Linked DNA regions of Saccharomyces cerevisiae S288C. The gene in region 2 interacts genetically with the main gene of each other region. Each region holds a gene or a part of one and is shown on either strand. Other genes may lie near its edges.

Region 1 (7,419 bases), on a different chromosome or scaffold from region 2:
AAATCAAGTAACAATCATTCGTGTTGGAATAAAAATCAAATACCGTCTATCATCTAACACCGTATATGATAATATATTGATAGTATAACTATTGGTTGATAGACGATAGTTGATTTTTATACCAACACTAGGAAACCACAATCCAAGATGAGATAAATATAGAGGAAAATACAAGTTTGAGTTTAGATCTGAAGTTACCTTAACATTTGTATAAGCAAATTCGCTACGCGACTCTCACATCAAAAACTGCTTCTATGGCCAAGTTGGTAAGGCGCCACACTAGTAATGTGGAGATCATCGGTTCAAATCCGATTGGAAGCATTTTTTTGAATACTGAAAAATTAAGCTGATCACCAAACTCATGTAATATATATGCTTGACTATACAAATTACAGGCTTCTTCTCATATTTTTCTGCTCTACGTTAACCTACTTTAAACAGTCCAAAAGGCTTATGTTGTCCACATGAAATGCCTAAAACAGATGGCCAATATTTAATTTTTTTCCTTACTACATTTAAATCTGTATACTACCTAAATATCCTCTTTCGCTACTGTGGGAGAAGAAGAAGAATAACTCTCAGTTTATAATCTGATCTAGGCACTCTCAGATTGCGAATTAGCTTTTACAGTAAACGCCCCATCGCTCCATTTTTTGAAAGAGTCTAGAAGTTCATCATTTTTATGTAACTCTGCTATCTCAGTATAACCACCTCTGGAAGTACCACCGATGATAACGTTTGGGACTGTTCTCCTACCAGTGACTTTTTCAATCTGGTCTTGTAGTTCTTTTGTGTGTTCGTGCCTATCCAATTCTACAACGTAGTAAGATGGAGAAAACGTGTACGAATTAGTCAACAAAGCTTTCAGTTTTTTGCTATATGGGCAGCCAGTCTTGCTAAATACAATCATGGGTGACTGTTCCATTATTTTGTTGTATTCTGCAGCGGCATCAAATTCAGCGTCCCCACTATTTTTATCAACTTCTTCGGCTTCCTTATCTTGTGTATTTACTGTATCATGGACAGATTGGTGAGTGCCAGGTGCATTTCCTGAATTGTCAAACGTCACCAATGAATCAGGATGGTGAGTAGTAATACTTTCGTTGACGCTAGCATTCGAATTCCTTAACACAAAAAACACAACAATGAGCAGTAAATTAGTTATTACCAAGACTCTCACGTTTCTTTTGTTTATAACAATAGCCATCTCTAATTTTCTTCAGTTGTTTTGCGTTTAATTTGAAAATTTTGCTTCTTTCCAATATATAGGTTTTTTCTTTTATTTGATTCGAGCTTTTTCACTGAGGGGATATGTACACATTGGCAAATATCCTGCCGAAAGTACTTCTTTATTTTTTTTCAAAACGCAGTCCCACTTACCGGTATGACGTAGTCTCGATTCTCAAATACACCCGGGACTGCATATTTATACATCTGTAGTAAAGTCATTTTATATGGATTGTGAAGGAAAAAATTTACATAACTGGAAGATAAATAAACATAACTATGTAAGGAATAGTAATAAGAATGTAGAAAACGCCAATGGAAGTTGTCCAAACTATAGTCCGACCCGTTGCATATTATTTACCGGCAATCGCCTTATCATGAGTAGATTCTAAAAATGCTAATCTATCGGTGATGTAACCACACACTCTTTTCCATTCCGTTTTATCCTGCCCTAAAAGGTCATCGAGATATTTGAAAGGATTCTTATTAACACAAACATATTCGTTTAAAACCTTGAAATTCTCTAGTTCAATATCGTAATTTTTTACCTTTTTTAAGGCCGTATATGAACGAGCAGGTTTACCATTCGTAGTCAAAAAATTGCTTTTAGATAAATCGTATGGGTCAAACTTTGGGAAGTTTGAATGGATGAACATAACATCTACATGATTCTTGGCATTTAAGTCCTCGTTGTCGAAAAATTCTTCGGTGTATTTTTCGAGGGAATAGTTTTTGTCAAACTTGATTGCATCAGCTGATTTAGTGCCACCGTATTTGTTGCCAATGCTCTCCATAGCATTTAAGTAACGGCCATAATCCTGCACAAAGTCGTGTTGTAACATTGCTACACCATGAAACCCGTCTTCATCATGGTAGCCTTCAACGCCTGTCCTTGTTCTAACTTGGTAAAATGATAGACCATAAAAGTTTGCAGCGGCAATGAAAGTTTCCTTATCACCTTCACCAGCAGCTTTTTGAGAAAATATTGGGTAGTACCACGTTGGTCCATTGACGTTGTAGAATAAAGATAGAAGAGCCGTAGCCAAATGCTTCGTTTTGTTTATCATCAGTTGGCCGGATTCCGTAGACACGTCGGGTATTGTTCCGTCTAGGTCACTTAGCGGGACGTCACTCAAATCCTTCAAATCCTTTGTGTAAACAGCAGGTGGGGTGATATCGTCTCGAGAATTGCGAACTCTCTTTTTCTTGTCCACAGCAATACCTGCAATGTCGTAATACAATGGGTGAGTTGTACGCCTCCAGAAATCGGGCCACATGACCAAGCCCGTAGACACATATGGTTCTTCATTGAATATGTTGTCTAGGGGTTTGATGGGGAAGTTGTCAGCATCCAGTAAGAGCAGGTTTTCAAAACTAGAAGCGATAAGGGCCAATGATTTAAACTGGTATCCTTTGAAAACAAATTTTTCAATCGTCTCTCGTGGTAGAATATCTGAAACGTAAATACACTTGGAGTTATACTTAGGCAGAATCTTGTTACAAAACTCAGTTTCACCTTCATCACCAGGAGGGATCAGGACTTCCACAGGTAACGTGGTCCCCATATTCCTTAAAGTCTTAATGATCAAAAATGCCATAAGGGAGAACTTCCCGCCACCCACTGTGGCTATACCGGACCCTTTGTACGTACCCTTTGGCGAGACGAGAGTCGCTATATGCTCTACGTAGTCCTTATGGCTTTTGGTCAGACTTGCTACTTCATCCGGAGATAGTTCCAAACACTTGGACAGCTCCTTAGCAGACAACTTGTAAAGATCTTTGTAGTGGTCGGGACGGTCTCCAATGTCACCCTTTAATAAGCATGCCTCGTTATACTGCTTTGCAGTACTCCCCTTGGGCGAATCAACCATTAGAAAGTTGAAAACGTTGTTGTAGAAGCTTTTCAACTTTTCATTGCCTGCCTCATCATTGTCCCTCAATGGGGTTGAATCGTCAGCGCTGGCGGCGTCTGAGGAAGATGAATACTTATTGGAGTAACTCTGGACATATCTGTCTAAGTACTCCTTGTACTCCTTGACCGACGTGTTCTCATCCATGTATTTGTTTGTAATGACGAACAGCCCGCACAATATCAAAACTATGAACGTCAGCTTGAACAGCTTTGAAAACCTTTTGGTAAGCAGCATACTGAAAATATAATTTTACTGACCTACCTACACTGATTTGTCTCGAAGTAGATATGATACCTTGAGCAGCACGAGGATATTAAAAAGTAGGGCAATTCTGCTTTTAACGTATAAGCAACACCAAGTACACGTAATTTATTTTGATGATTCTTCTATATTTTTTTTTTCTTCATTGTTATTTTTTCACTATCTTTTTCATCCCTCCGCAAAAGGACGCGATCCTTTTTTAGCACGTGAACGGTAATAACGGGTCCTGGACGATGTATTAGAGTCACCTAATCACCAAGCGAGCCAATGGCGACTCACTTGACTTGCATGTTTGCATAACCTATTTAGCGAACCCTCCAACTTCTGAGCGCACCAGCTTAACTTGTGCGCTAAGCTGCCTTGCCCGACATAGTGCCATCGCTCATTCCACCTCACACCTGATTAACTAAAAGTTTTAAAACTACGGGACTGCGAAAAAGTAGAGCTACGTTACTGCAGACCTACAATAATTGCACACATCGGCCTGATAACGAATGCTTCTAAAATTCTACTGTGCTACTATCGGCTGGTCGCGCCCGACGGGTTCGCTCAGCCGCTCTGCGCCCTCTTACTCTTCAGCCATTCTGCTGCGGCCGAAGCTATAAAAGTATGTCAATTTGGCTTTTTCCAAAATCCCCCTCTGGCTCTTTCTCTTCTCAAGACAAGCATTGAAGAGACTCACTAGTAAGCTTAAGATAGTCCTACACACAACCACCATGTCTGCTAACGATTACTACGGCGGAACCGCCGGCGAGAAGAGCCAATATTCCCGTCCCTCCAACCCGCCACCTTCATCCGCTCATCAGAACAAAACTCAGGAGCGTGGATACCCACCCCAACAACAGCAGCAGTACTACCAGCAGCAGCAGCAGCATCCCGGATACTATAACCAACAAGGATACAATCAGCAAGGGTACAATCAGCAAGGGTACAATCAGCAGGGCTACAATCAGCAGGGATATAACCAGCAGGGATATAACCAACAAGGCCATCAACAACCAGTCTACGTCCAACAACAACCACCCCAGAGGGGTAACGAAGGTTGTCTGGCTGCATGTCTGGCTGCATTATGTATATGCTGCACCATGGATATGCTATTCTAAGAGAACCCGCAAAAGTATTCAAGAATGAAAAAAAAAAAAAGAATAATCTCCCCTTCTGTTCTTTGCAGTTGCCTTTCTTCCCCTCAGTGTTATTTTTTTTCACAAGGAGATAAAAAAAAAAACTTTAACATGTCACTTTAAGCATGTATGTAATACGTCTATTAATTATATGTAACTTTTATAACTATTTTCATTTCTATGTGATCCATTTGCAGTTATGCACCTTTTTTTTTTTTCCGAATTGTGCTATGTATATATCACTAGTAATAATGTACCAAACTATACAAACACGTAGGATACAGTAAAAAAAATTTTAGCTGGTGAACTGTTGTAAGAAGGAGATTTCATCGGGCGTGAAATTTATTGCAGAAATTTGGGCAGAATGGTTCATCAAAAAGGTGTAGATCTCTTGCGCAAAAACATTCGCCTCTACATTGCTTGAAAGGCCCGTAACAATTTTATGAATGGTATCATTACTCATTGTGACCTCCGTGCTGGTCAAATTGATAATTTTCAGGAAACCCATGTACGCGCTACTCTTTTCCTCTACATCGTCCAATGCGTTAACGGACAAACACCATTTATTCCAGTTGGAATCATTGGCAAATGCGCCAGAACTGAAAACTTCAGGGTGTGTTAGCCCCATTTTTCCGATGGTCACAGACAAGTTCTCCATCACAGAGCTGTCTACGATTTGTGTGTTGGTGGTAAATAAATCTAGAATGATTCTAGACATATCAATGATATAAGTATTCAAATCGATACGTTCGCTTATCAAACCAAGCGCCCATATCGCATTTATCACAGCAGGAGTACCATCACTATCGTCGTTATGCATTATTTCCGTACCAATCAACTTCAAGAAATCCTCCAAATTACCAATTACCAGTTCCGAATTGAAAAAATATACAATATCTCCCAACAGGGCAAAGCAGCTTTGTCTTACTTCATGGACAGGGTCCTGCAAACATTCTAGCATGATTTTCAATATCGTTAAATCCTTCGTCCCTTGAGGGAACAATAGATCCTGCGAGTGAGCGCCAAGACCTTGTACCAATCCATCAATCAAATCTAATGAGGTGATGATGAAGTCCTTCTCAGGCACTACTATTGTCGGGTCTTGATGTGATTTGGCTTCCAATTCGACACAATGACATAGAATTCTAAAGGCTCTGTTGTACACTTCTGGTGCCATAGGCATGAATCTTTCCCCCAGTGATGATGCCACGCAGGAAAGACATTCTAAAAGTGGCCACAGCTCCTTGTCACTGTCTGACAGCAAAGCCCATTTTTCAATTAAGGGCGGCAAAATTATTTGCATCGCTGTCTCGTCTAATGCACATTTTTCAGCAAACCTGCCGATGGCATCATATAATATAATTAAATTCTTTTTCTTGTAATATTTCAAACATTTATCAAAACTCGTCAATAATTGACTATAAAATAAAGTTTCAACCAATTCGGAGTCGGCGTTTTCAATAAATACTGCTACACTACTAATAGCCGCCTCTTGAACATCCTTTTTCTTGTCCATTAATGTGTTTATTATAGGTTCTAAGACTGGAATTAAAAACTCAGTATGGTCTTGTAATATCCATGGTGAAAACCTACTTAATGTCCAACATGTCATTTTCCTCACTGGTGCCCACTTATCGTTCAATTGTTCCACTAAAAATGGTATTAGTGCTGGTAAGCCATCATTAAAATACTTCATTCCACCTTCTGCCATGGCCCCCAGTGCTAATATAGTAGCTTCTCTAATAAACCACCTATCAGAACCCAAATGTTCTCTTAAAAATGGGAACGCTATATCCATCACTTGATGAGGTAAAATATTCGTCATTACATCTAGCGTTGCCGCGGAACATTTTCTCAAATTCCATTGCGTATCAACATCGCCATCTTCATCATCATCATCATCATCATCATCTTCGTTGTCATCTGCATCCTCTCCATTTCCTGCCTCTTTCTTTTTCACAATACGGGGTGCAATGGGCTTGATGTCCTCATCTTTATCCTCCAAGAATGCATCATCATCATTAGAAGCTTCCAGGAGAACGATGGATTCTTCGTTATAGACCATTTTCGATAATAATATTGGCACGATATCCTTAACATATGGTTGTAAGATATGTTCAGGAATATTTGGGCTCGTTGCAAAGGCGTGCAAAAACTCGCAGGCTTCAATAGCCACTTTTTCCTCATTTACAGTGGTGATCAAATGCAACATGAATTGTACAATACCATCTAAATGGGAAACCAGCTTATCTGGTCTGAATTCCAATAAGAAACTAAAACTAATGCAAATCTGTGCCCTAACTAGGTCGTTTTCGTCGTTTTGTGCCAACTGAAAAATAATTTCTAAGAATTTATCTAATCTCACAATAAAACTTTGTGTTTGTAGCGGGATCACTGTATTTATACATTTCACCGATTCTGAGCGAATCACAGGTGAGAAATTTGGATTCGAAATAAACCTAAAAAAACTATCCAATAAGGCTTCCATAGGCTTCGTATTTCCCGACCATTCCAATTGGAAAAATTGAGCGCTGTCTTCCATGATCTTAGATAAAGCCTTAATACTTGGCTCATTTCCATTTGAGGTTAGCTCTAGCAACTGGTAAAGCATTTGAAGACCAGTTGGATCATCTCTATGCTGCCTATAGTAAGTGGAAAATAAAGTAGTAATAACGATACCTGTCACGTTCGAAACGAGATTATTGTTCGAATTATAAAGGCCATGTATAATGTTTGATTTGACGTATCCTAAGTCGTGGCTATTGCTCTTAATTAAATTGTTTCCCCCTAGCATTGAATTTTTCAACAGCATACCGGCGGTAGCTCTATTGTTCTGAAGATCCTGTAGGGAGTAGTGTTGCTTCAATACATCATCAGATTCGCCTTCAATTAAAATA
Region 2 (7,569 bases):
ACCACAGCCGCCAACTTTCTTCCCATCGATAGTGAAATCAATCTCGGTCAACTCGTCTTCTGTAAATTTGACAACTTTATCTTGTTGAGATCTTATATCGTTTATTTCATTTTCTTCCTGTTCTTTCATACCACAGGTGCAATCTTTACAAGCCTTCTTCTTCTTAGTTTTGGATTTACCGCATGTAATCATAGTAATCATTGACTTACCAGAACCATCCTCGTCGATTAATTCTTCTTCTTCAATGGAATCATCGCTGGTATCCACTTGATCAAAATATTGGGCTTTGGAAGAGTCACTAGAGAAATCATCATCATCGCTATCCTCAATCAGGTCGTCTACGACTCGGTAGACTTTTGGTTCAGTGGTCATTTTGAAACTAGGTGGTTTGAAGCTGTCTGTTTCCTTAACTATAGGTTGCCTACTGTGATCTGCTTTTTTGAATGAGGGTAAATTAGAGGTTGAAGAACTAGCTTTTTTAAAAGTTGGTAGCTTACTACCACTCTGTAGCTTAGTATTGTTCGTTTTCTTTTTTTTCAGTGGTATAGAAACAGTTTGGTTTAGTTTAGAGGAATCCATTTTAATCCAGCAATAATCTGGTTCGTTAATTATTTCAAACCCATTGATTAATGCATCTACTTTATAAATATCACTTAAACCAATTAGTGAGCCGTTTGGTTTCAATGAGTCAGCTAAGACAGAAATTAACTTTTTCGGAAACTTAATATCAGTCTGGGCTTCTGGCGTCAAATAGTGTACTGTTTCATATTTTGCGTTTTCCAAAGTTATGGACCCATCATTTAGTTTATTGATTAAAAACTGGTCCACGAACTTGACTTTCTTTGATGCAGCTTGAGCCTTAGTGTTCTCTACTAGCTCTGGCGTTGTAGTCACCGCCGGATGTATTAAAAGTAAACCAGTTTTGTATTGTGACATCGATACCTTCACTTACAGTGTATATGCTTAGATCAAATGTGATGAAAGACTTCTGCTTAGAATACCTTTTTAATATGTCATGAAATTAAATGATTACTAATCATTTCTTTTTTTTATTTTTTTTTTCCAGAAGCTTTTGAATAGTATCGGACTTATTCCGGTACCGGGATATGTCAAAAAAAGAAAAATGAGAAACGAATAGATATTTACCCAGAAAGTAATGAATGTATTTAATGAATTACTGAATTATTAAAATTAGTAATAAATAGCGGTTTATATGAAGAGCTCTATGTACGCTAGTATGGCATTACATACCTACTGCAAGTAAAAAAGGAAAAAAATTTGTGACATTTTGTAAATATGCTGCGTGAATTTGCCTAATGAGTATTTTTCCAGAAATTACAAAACACAAATAAGTAGAATGTGTTTAGTGTATTTGTAATTCATAGACTATTTATTGATGCTTATCTATTATACCTGGGGTTTCTGCTTCGTCCTCGTCCTCGTCATCATCGTCGTCGTCGTCGTCGTCGTCGTCGTCGTCGTCGTCGTCATCGTCGTCATCGTCATCATCATCGTTGTTGTTTTCGTTCTTATCTTCTGTATCTTCTTCTTCGTCGTCGTCTTCTTCCTCATCCTCATCATCGTCCTCTTCCTCGTTATTTTTTGGGTACCCACCCAATTTCATAACGATTTTGTTAACAATCTCATTCCAGTCCATCATACCCCCGAGACCAATATCACCATTTATATCCATAACTTTCTCAGACGGCTTGAAAACAGTGACCCAGGACATTTCCTCCTTTATCGTTTGTAGTTGCTTCTTTGTCATCATAGAATTAAAAGTGCTACTCACCATAGAAGGTGCCAAAAGAATGGGATAACTCGGATTCCAAGCTCTAATGACACTTGTCAGAAGATTGTCGCACAGGCCCAAAGCAATTTTTGATAATGTGTTTGCAGTTAATGGAGCTACTACCAGTATATCCGCCCAGCGACGTAGTTCTATATGAAGTACAGGATCAGTTCGTTGTTTCCATGCGTCCCATTCATCTTGGTCGGTCCATAGTTGAATATGTGGGGGTAACTCGACTACTTGAGCCATGTTGCATTGTCCTGGTGTTGGTGTCACTGGAGTTGCCGGAGTGGATTCGTACTGCGACATTTTATTTAGTTTTTCTGAAGATTTGATAATTTTCTTGGTATATCTTTGTTCGAAAAACTGTGTTGCTGATTGAGTGAGGATAACTTGAATGCTTATTCTATCACGTCCATATATTTCTTCTAGTTTTTTAATCATTGGCTTGATCTTAAATACCGATAACGAACCTGTAGCGCCAAACAACACGTGCAATTTTCCATCATCTTGAGGTAGTCTGGGATCCAAATTCTTGGAGTTCTCTCTTTTGGGGATGATGGAAGGAATGACGGACTGCTTCACTGGCGTTTCTTCCGGGGTAGAACGCACATTAATTTGGCCTGAAACATTGTTAGCTTGATCTTGTGCATCTTCCTTTCGAAGTGTAATACTGGTGGGGGCTTTGGCGGTTACCTTATTATTTTCTCTACTTATTGGCGTTGAAGTGGCCATGATTTTGTCAGGCTTCATGGTATCAACTATTTTAAGAGCACTGTCTTTTTTCTTAGGATCATAATCTTTCATTTCGTTGACGAGTGGAGACCCAGATAATTGCGTTGTTCTTGAAGTGTTGGTGTGGTTCGGTATAACTGCATGATTGCCAGGAATGGAATTTGAGACAGGAGCAGGATTACTATTTGGAGACTTGGTCCTTTCTGAGTCGTTCTTCAGCTGAGTCAGACTATCCTGCTTTTGCTGTTGCTTTAGATCACTGAAAGTGACGGCGGGGACTCTCTTCAAACCAGGCTCCGGAGTATTACTTACTACTGCGCCGGAGGTGCCGGTGGCATTCATAATAGATTTCGTAGTCGTGGTAGTAGCATTCGACAAAGTAGGGCTTATTGATTGCCTCCCTGACACGGGGGAGTTGATTATTGAATCCTTCCCCTTCGCATCCTCATGGTCCAACAAAATCTCTTTCTGTCCACGCGAAAACCTTGGACACTCTATAGACTGGTTATGGTCAGCATCTTGCTTCCCGCTAGTAGAGGCGACGGCAGTCATTGCTGTTTGCTTCTAGATCTTTCTTCCCTATTAATTTTTTCCTAACTAATATTTCTTTATATTTTATCCCGGAATATAAAGTAGTATGACAGCAAAGAAGGCCAGGCTAAAAAAAGATCTCTCCAAATGTAACTGGACGGCGCTGATAAGTGGACAAGTACAAGTGAGGGATCGTGATCCAAGAGCACTCTGTGACTTCTTCTCCTCTAATATCACCTCCCCAGAAAAGCATCGATGCCATTTTTTGCAAGAGAAAAAGTTGCGTGCGTCACTGCCCACGAGCACATGGGGTGAGTTATATAACATAAGAATATTGCTTTGACTCATGTTAAAAGCAAAAGAAAAAATAATAATGATCATTAGAGATACATCAAAGACGATCATGGCATTAACCCAGGGTACGTGTGTTAGATATGATAGGGTACCCCGCGCGTATAAGTTACGCCTTGAATGATATAACACGTTAAAGTTTCTAGATCACGTGAATCATTACCATTTTTTAGGTCATCCTACGGATAATGGCGAAACCACATAATTGCTTTGTAGATCTCTTTTTATGCTGGATGGATGGCCCTCTGGAATGCATCCTTCACGAACACAATTTATGAAACCTCAGGTTTGATGCTCCGGAAAGCCTATTTCTCACGTTTTCCGGCACTTAATGCGCATATAAAAACATAGTCTCTACGTTACGAGGATTTATCATAGAACCCAAATCAGCAGTAATAAATTTCCACGGTCAAATTAAACTCTTGTCGTTGATATGGGTGTAGTGTGATGGTGGTGACCACTATTTCGCCTTTATTAGTTATTTATATGAGTTAGCCCTCCGAAGAACTCATCCTTGTTAGCTCAGTTGGTAGAGCGTTCGGCTTTTAAGCGCATTTGCTTAAGCAAGGATACCGAAATGTCAGGGGTTCGAGCCCCCTATGAGGAGTTCTTTACTTTTTTAGATTCGGCGTTCAATGCTAAAGAAAAAAAATGAAAATAAGTTTCAATTAATAGTGAAAGAAAAGGAAGGAAGTTAGAACTGAAATGCGTAGACTACCTCCCCCAAATTTTTTCTTGTTTGGTTGCATTATTTCATGAATTCAACTAAAAGGCTGAAAATGTCAACAACCTTTCATGATTATGACTTGGAAGAGCCATTAACCTCAAATGCCAGACCACTAAAGAACTCCGTTATTACAATCCGAGTAATAAAATCTTTCCCATATAGAAACGTCAAGAACATAGTGCTGCACGATTACGATCTTGCTGATAAAACTGCAAAGGACCTGTTCAATGACGTTTTGAACAAAATTCAAAATGAAGGTTCATTCAGACCATTCCGTAATGTTAAGTTTGATACTTTAAAGATATACACGCACGCACATGGTTCCAAGACGGTTAATCTCGTGATCAATTTTGACCACGATGACGACTGGACTTTAGACATAGAGAATGACAAAAAAAAGCTGTTCGAGTATGGCATTGAGAATGAAACCGAAATTTCGCTTTTCAACAAAGAGGATTACCTAAGGTTTAAAGAAAACCCTGAAGAAAAATGGTGAGATGTTGTTTGGCTTATGGCCTTCATTAATAAGTAAGTGCTATGAATATATTACATATATATATATATATATGTTGTGTACGAGAGTATACTCGTATGTAAATTAACATCAAATGTGTATGTGGAAATGCAGAAGAGAGCAAACTCTCCTTTAAAAAACAACCTGGTTCCTATAAAAAATGTCTTCTTCCATAGTGCCAAATGTATAGTTGCTGAACTCATAATGAGCTTCTTTTATTGTTTCATCAGAATGAGAACTATTTTGATGGTGATGGTGATGATGGCGACGATGGTGACGGCGATGGTGGCGGGAATGTTGGATATCGTTTATGTTGATGAGGGATTCGCGGATAGTCCCCTTTGAGTCGATCTCCCTCTTCATCACGGCTTGGTTAAACTTCAACTTCCTGGGGAATTGTTCCTTCTTTTCGTTCATAAGGTCTTCAGAATCTTCATCTATGGAGGAAATTTTAGTGCATGTAGAATGCTGGTCGAAAATGGAAGACGTGTGAGAATCAACAGACGATGGGCATGAAATGTCTTCTAATTTCACCAAAGCGTTGTCATTGCTCTCTATAGAAGCGTTAATCTCATCCACCTCCTCGGTTACCCAGCATTCCGTATTTTTCTTTAAAGCAGATTTTAGATTTTTTGTTTGTTTCTGGTCAATTTGGTTCTGGACCGGCGATATTTCGTTTTCATTACTATCTATGTTAGTCAAATCTGGACCGTACAACACCGTTACATCGGTTTCTTTGTTCCAGTTGATGGACAGTGGATTGGATTTGGAGTTCTGTAAACCATAGTGATTTATGGACCAACGCCTCCAGAGGCAATGATGTAGCCTAACGAGGTACATGTTGTAATCTAGCACGTCCTCTGAAGAGCAACTTGGTAATCGAAGTAGTTTATGTTTGCGCATCTTCAATAGTAGTGTCCATGAAGCCGATATTTCCAAGCTTGCATCATTAAATTCATGATGGAAATAGTCAATCGCAGGCTTGTTGTAGTTGGTCATGTTATCCAGTAACATTATATTCTGGTACGAAATTATTGTATCGTCCAAACTAGTCATTTTCTGTATATGTATCTATTTGTGTGTGTATGAACACTTGTGTGTAGTATCTGAATGCGATAAGAGAAAGGGCCAAAGTTGAACTGAATGCAAAAAGTAAAACCTATAAAACCGTGTTGACCATACGCTTTCATATATATATATATATATGTTTGTTTTTGCTAAGACCCGGTAACTGTACTTTTTCTGCAGTCATCCAAGGGAAGACAAAAGAAGAAAGAAAAAACAAGATTAATGTCCCCAGGTTTTTTCTTTTCCTGGCGGAAAAAGCTCAAATCTAACATTTCCCCGCGGGGGTTTCTTTGTAAAGAGTATCGAGTCGGAAACGAAAAAAAAAAAAAGATGAGAAAATGAATTTTTCCGGTCGCCTAAAGATAGAGGTACCAGCGGAAAAAATGCAGCAAAAGCAAAATACCCCATTCAAGTTCCCCCTGTCTCGCCCCTCTCACGCTTCACTGTCCCCCGCTTTCGGTTTTTCCGGCTACGGCATTTCTGTTGAAAGTTGCCGGAAAAACCCCAAAAAGCATAAAAAAAAAGAGCGGGGGGAAGAAAAAAAGATTCCTTTCTATCTTTTCCTTCCCCGGCCTATTCGGGTACTCGCTTCCGGGTCCGCTGTCGTTTATAATGATTAGTGCAGAGAGCTTTCTTCTCTTAGTTTTTCATGTGGTAAAGGCAATGCCATTTAGAAGGATACTACGTGGGGTTCAAAACCGTGAATACGTTGTCTATCGTGTTATGTATGTTCTGAGTTTCTTTTTGTCATTCTACTAGTTTATGGACTGGGACTATGTATCTTGCAGTATGATTTCGTCAGGAAGCTTGTCATAGCAAGGCCTGAACAAATCGTACGTTAAAATAAAAATGAGCACCAATTCGAGTCACTGATGCCTACTGCTCAATCCAACCATCTAGTTCTGCAAAGATACTTACTCCGCATAATTAAAAAAATAAGGTATTTTAAAGTTGTGTAGTGACGAATGTAGTGACGCGGAAACGTTTTACTCGTCAATGGACATTTGCGAATGTGTCCGATAAATAGTTGAGGCTTTTCCTGCATTCTGTCAAGAAGGGTATGTGTATGAACATGCAAATGACACTGTAAAATGATTCATTACCCTGATTATGGAGTGATTTTCTTTCCTTTTTTTTTTTACATTTAGTTTCATTATTATGCAAATTAGAGGGTATACAGTTGAGATTTTAACACTTTGAATTAAAAAGTGTTACAGAGGAAACCGACGCAAAAGGCTTGGTGACGCAAACTTTTCCATCTTTATTTCACCTCTTCAGACGGTCCTAAGACCTTTTGAACGTATCAATATAGTTTTATCATCTGTTCTCTGTTGTTCTCCGTTACTAAGATATTAGTCAGCTCTTGAAATTTCACACCCCTATTTATTTGTCTTAGCGTCCAACCCCTCTCAACCCTTTTCCATTTCTTGTATAAAGGTAGTTAATTAGGTAACGCTGCTCTTACCATCACTACAGTGCTTACGAGAATTTACCCAAACCCTGCGCAAGATAAATAAGAAATGTCGAAACAGTGGGCGAGTGGTACAAACGGAGCTTTCAAAAGACAGGTTTCGTCCTTCAGAGAAACAATCTCTAAGCAACACCCAATTTATAAGCCAGCAAAGGGAAGATATTGGTTGTATGTTTCACTTGCATGCCCATGGGCCCATAGAACACTAATTACGAGGGCTTTGAAGGGATTAACCTCTGTTATAGGATGTAGCGTAGTCCATTGGCACCTTGACGAGAAAGGATGGAGATTTTTGGACATGGAAAAGCAATTGGAGGACAGTGAAGATTTTTTGGAACATTGGCACGATGTTGCAGGTGGTATTAGAACTGCTAAAGAGG

What was found. A genetic interaction does not mean that the proteins touch.
Region 1: mutations in YKR075C (region 2) and MNN2 together harm fitness more than expected from each alone (negative genetic interaction), as found in Saccharomyces cerevisiae (2 studies listed by BioGRID).

Annotation. Positions count from the first base shown.
Region 1 is NC_001134.8:266,130-273,548, forward strand, and holds MNN2 (alpha-1,2-mannosyltransferase MNN2), read right to left. Parts: upstream 3,375-7,419; coding exon 1,581-3,374; downstream 1-1,580. Other genes in the region: glutathione-disulfide reductase GRX7, read right to left, coding at 596-1,207; cysteine-rich palmitoylated domain-containing protein CPP1, read left to right, coding at 4,118-4,504; KAP104 (Kap104p), read right to left, coding at 4,818-7,419. UniProt on the Saccharomyces cerevisiae protein: Alpha-1,2-mannosyltransferase, responsible for addition of the first alpha-1,2-linked mannose to form the branches on the mannan backbone of oligosaccharides.
Region 2 is NC_001143.9:575,045-582,613, forward strand, and holds YKR075C (uncharacterized protein), read right to left. Parts: upstream 5,707-7,569; coding exon 4,783-5,706; downstream 1-4,782. Other genes in the region: electron carrier DRE2, read right to left, coding at 1-936; phosphopantothenoylcysteine decarboxylase complex subunit SIS2, read right to left, coding at 1,391-3,079; YKR073C (uncharacterized protein), read right to left, coding at 3,143-3,463; AIM29 (Aim29p), read left to right, coding at 4,165-4,632; ECM4 (S-glutathionyl-(chloro)hydroquinone reductase), read left to right, coding at 7,239-7,569.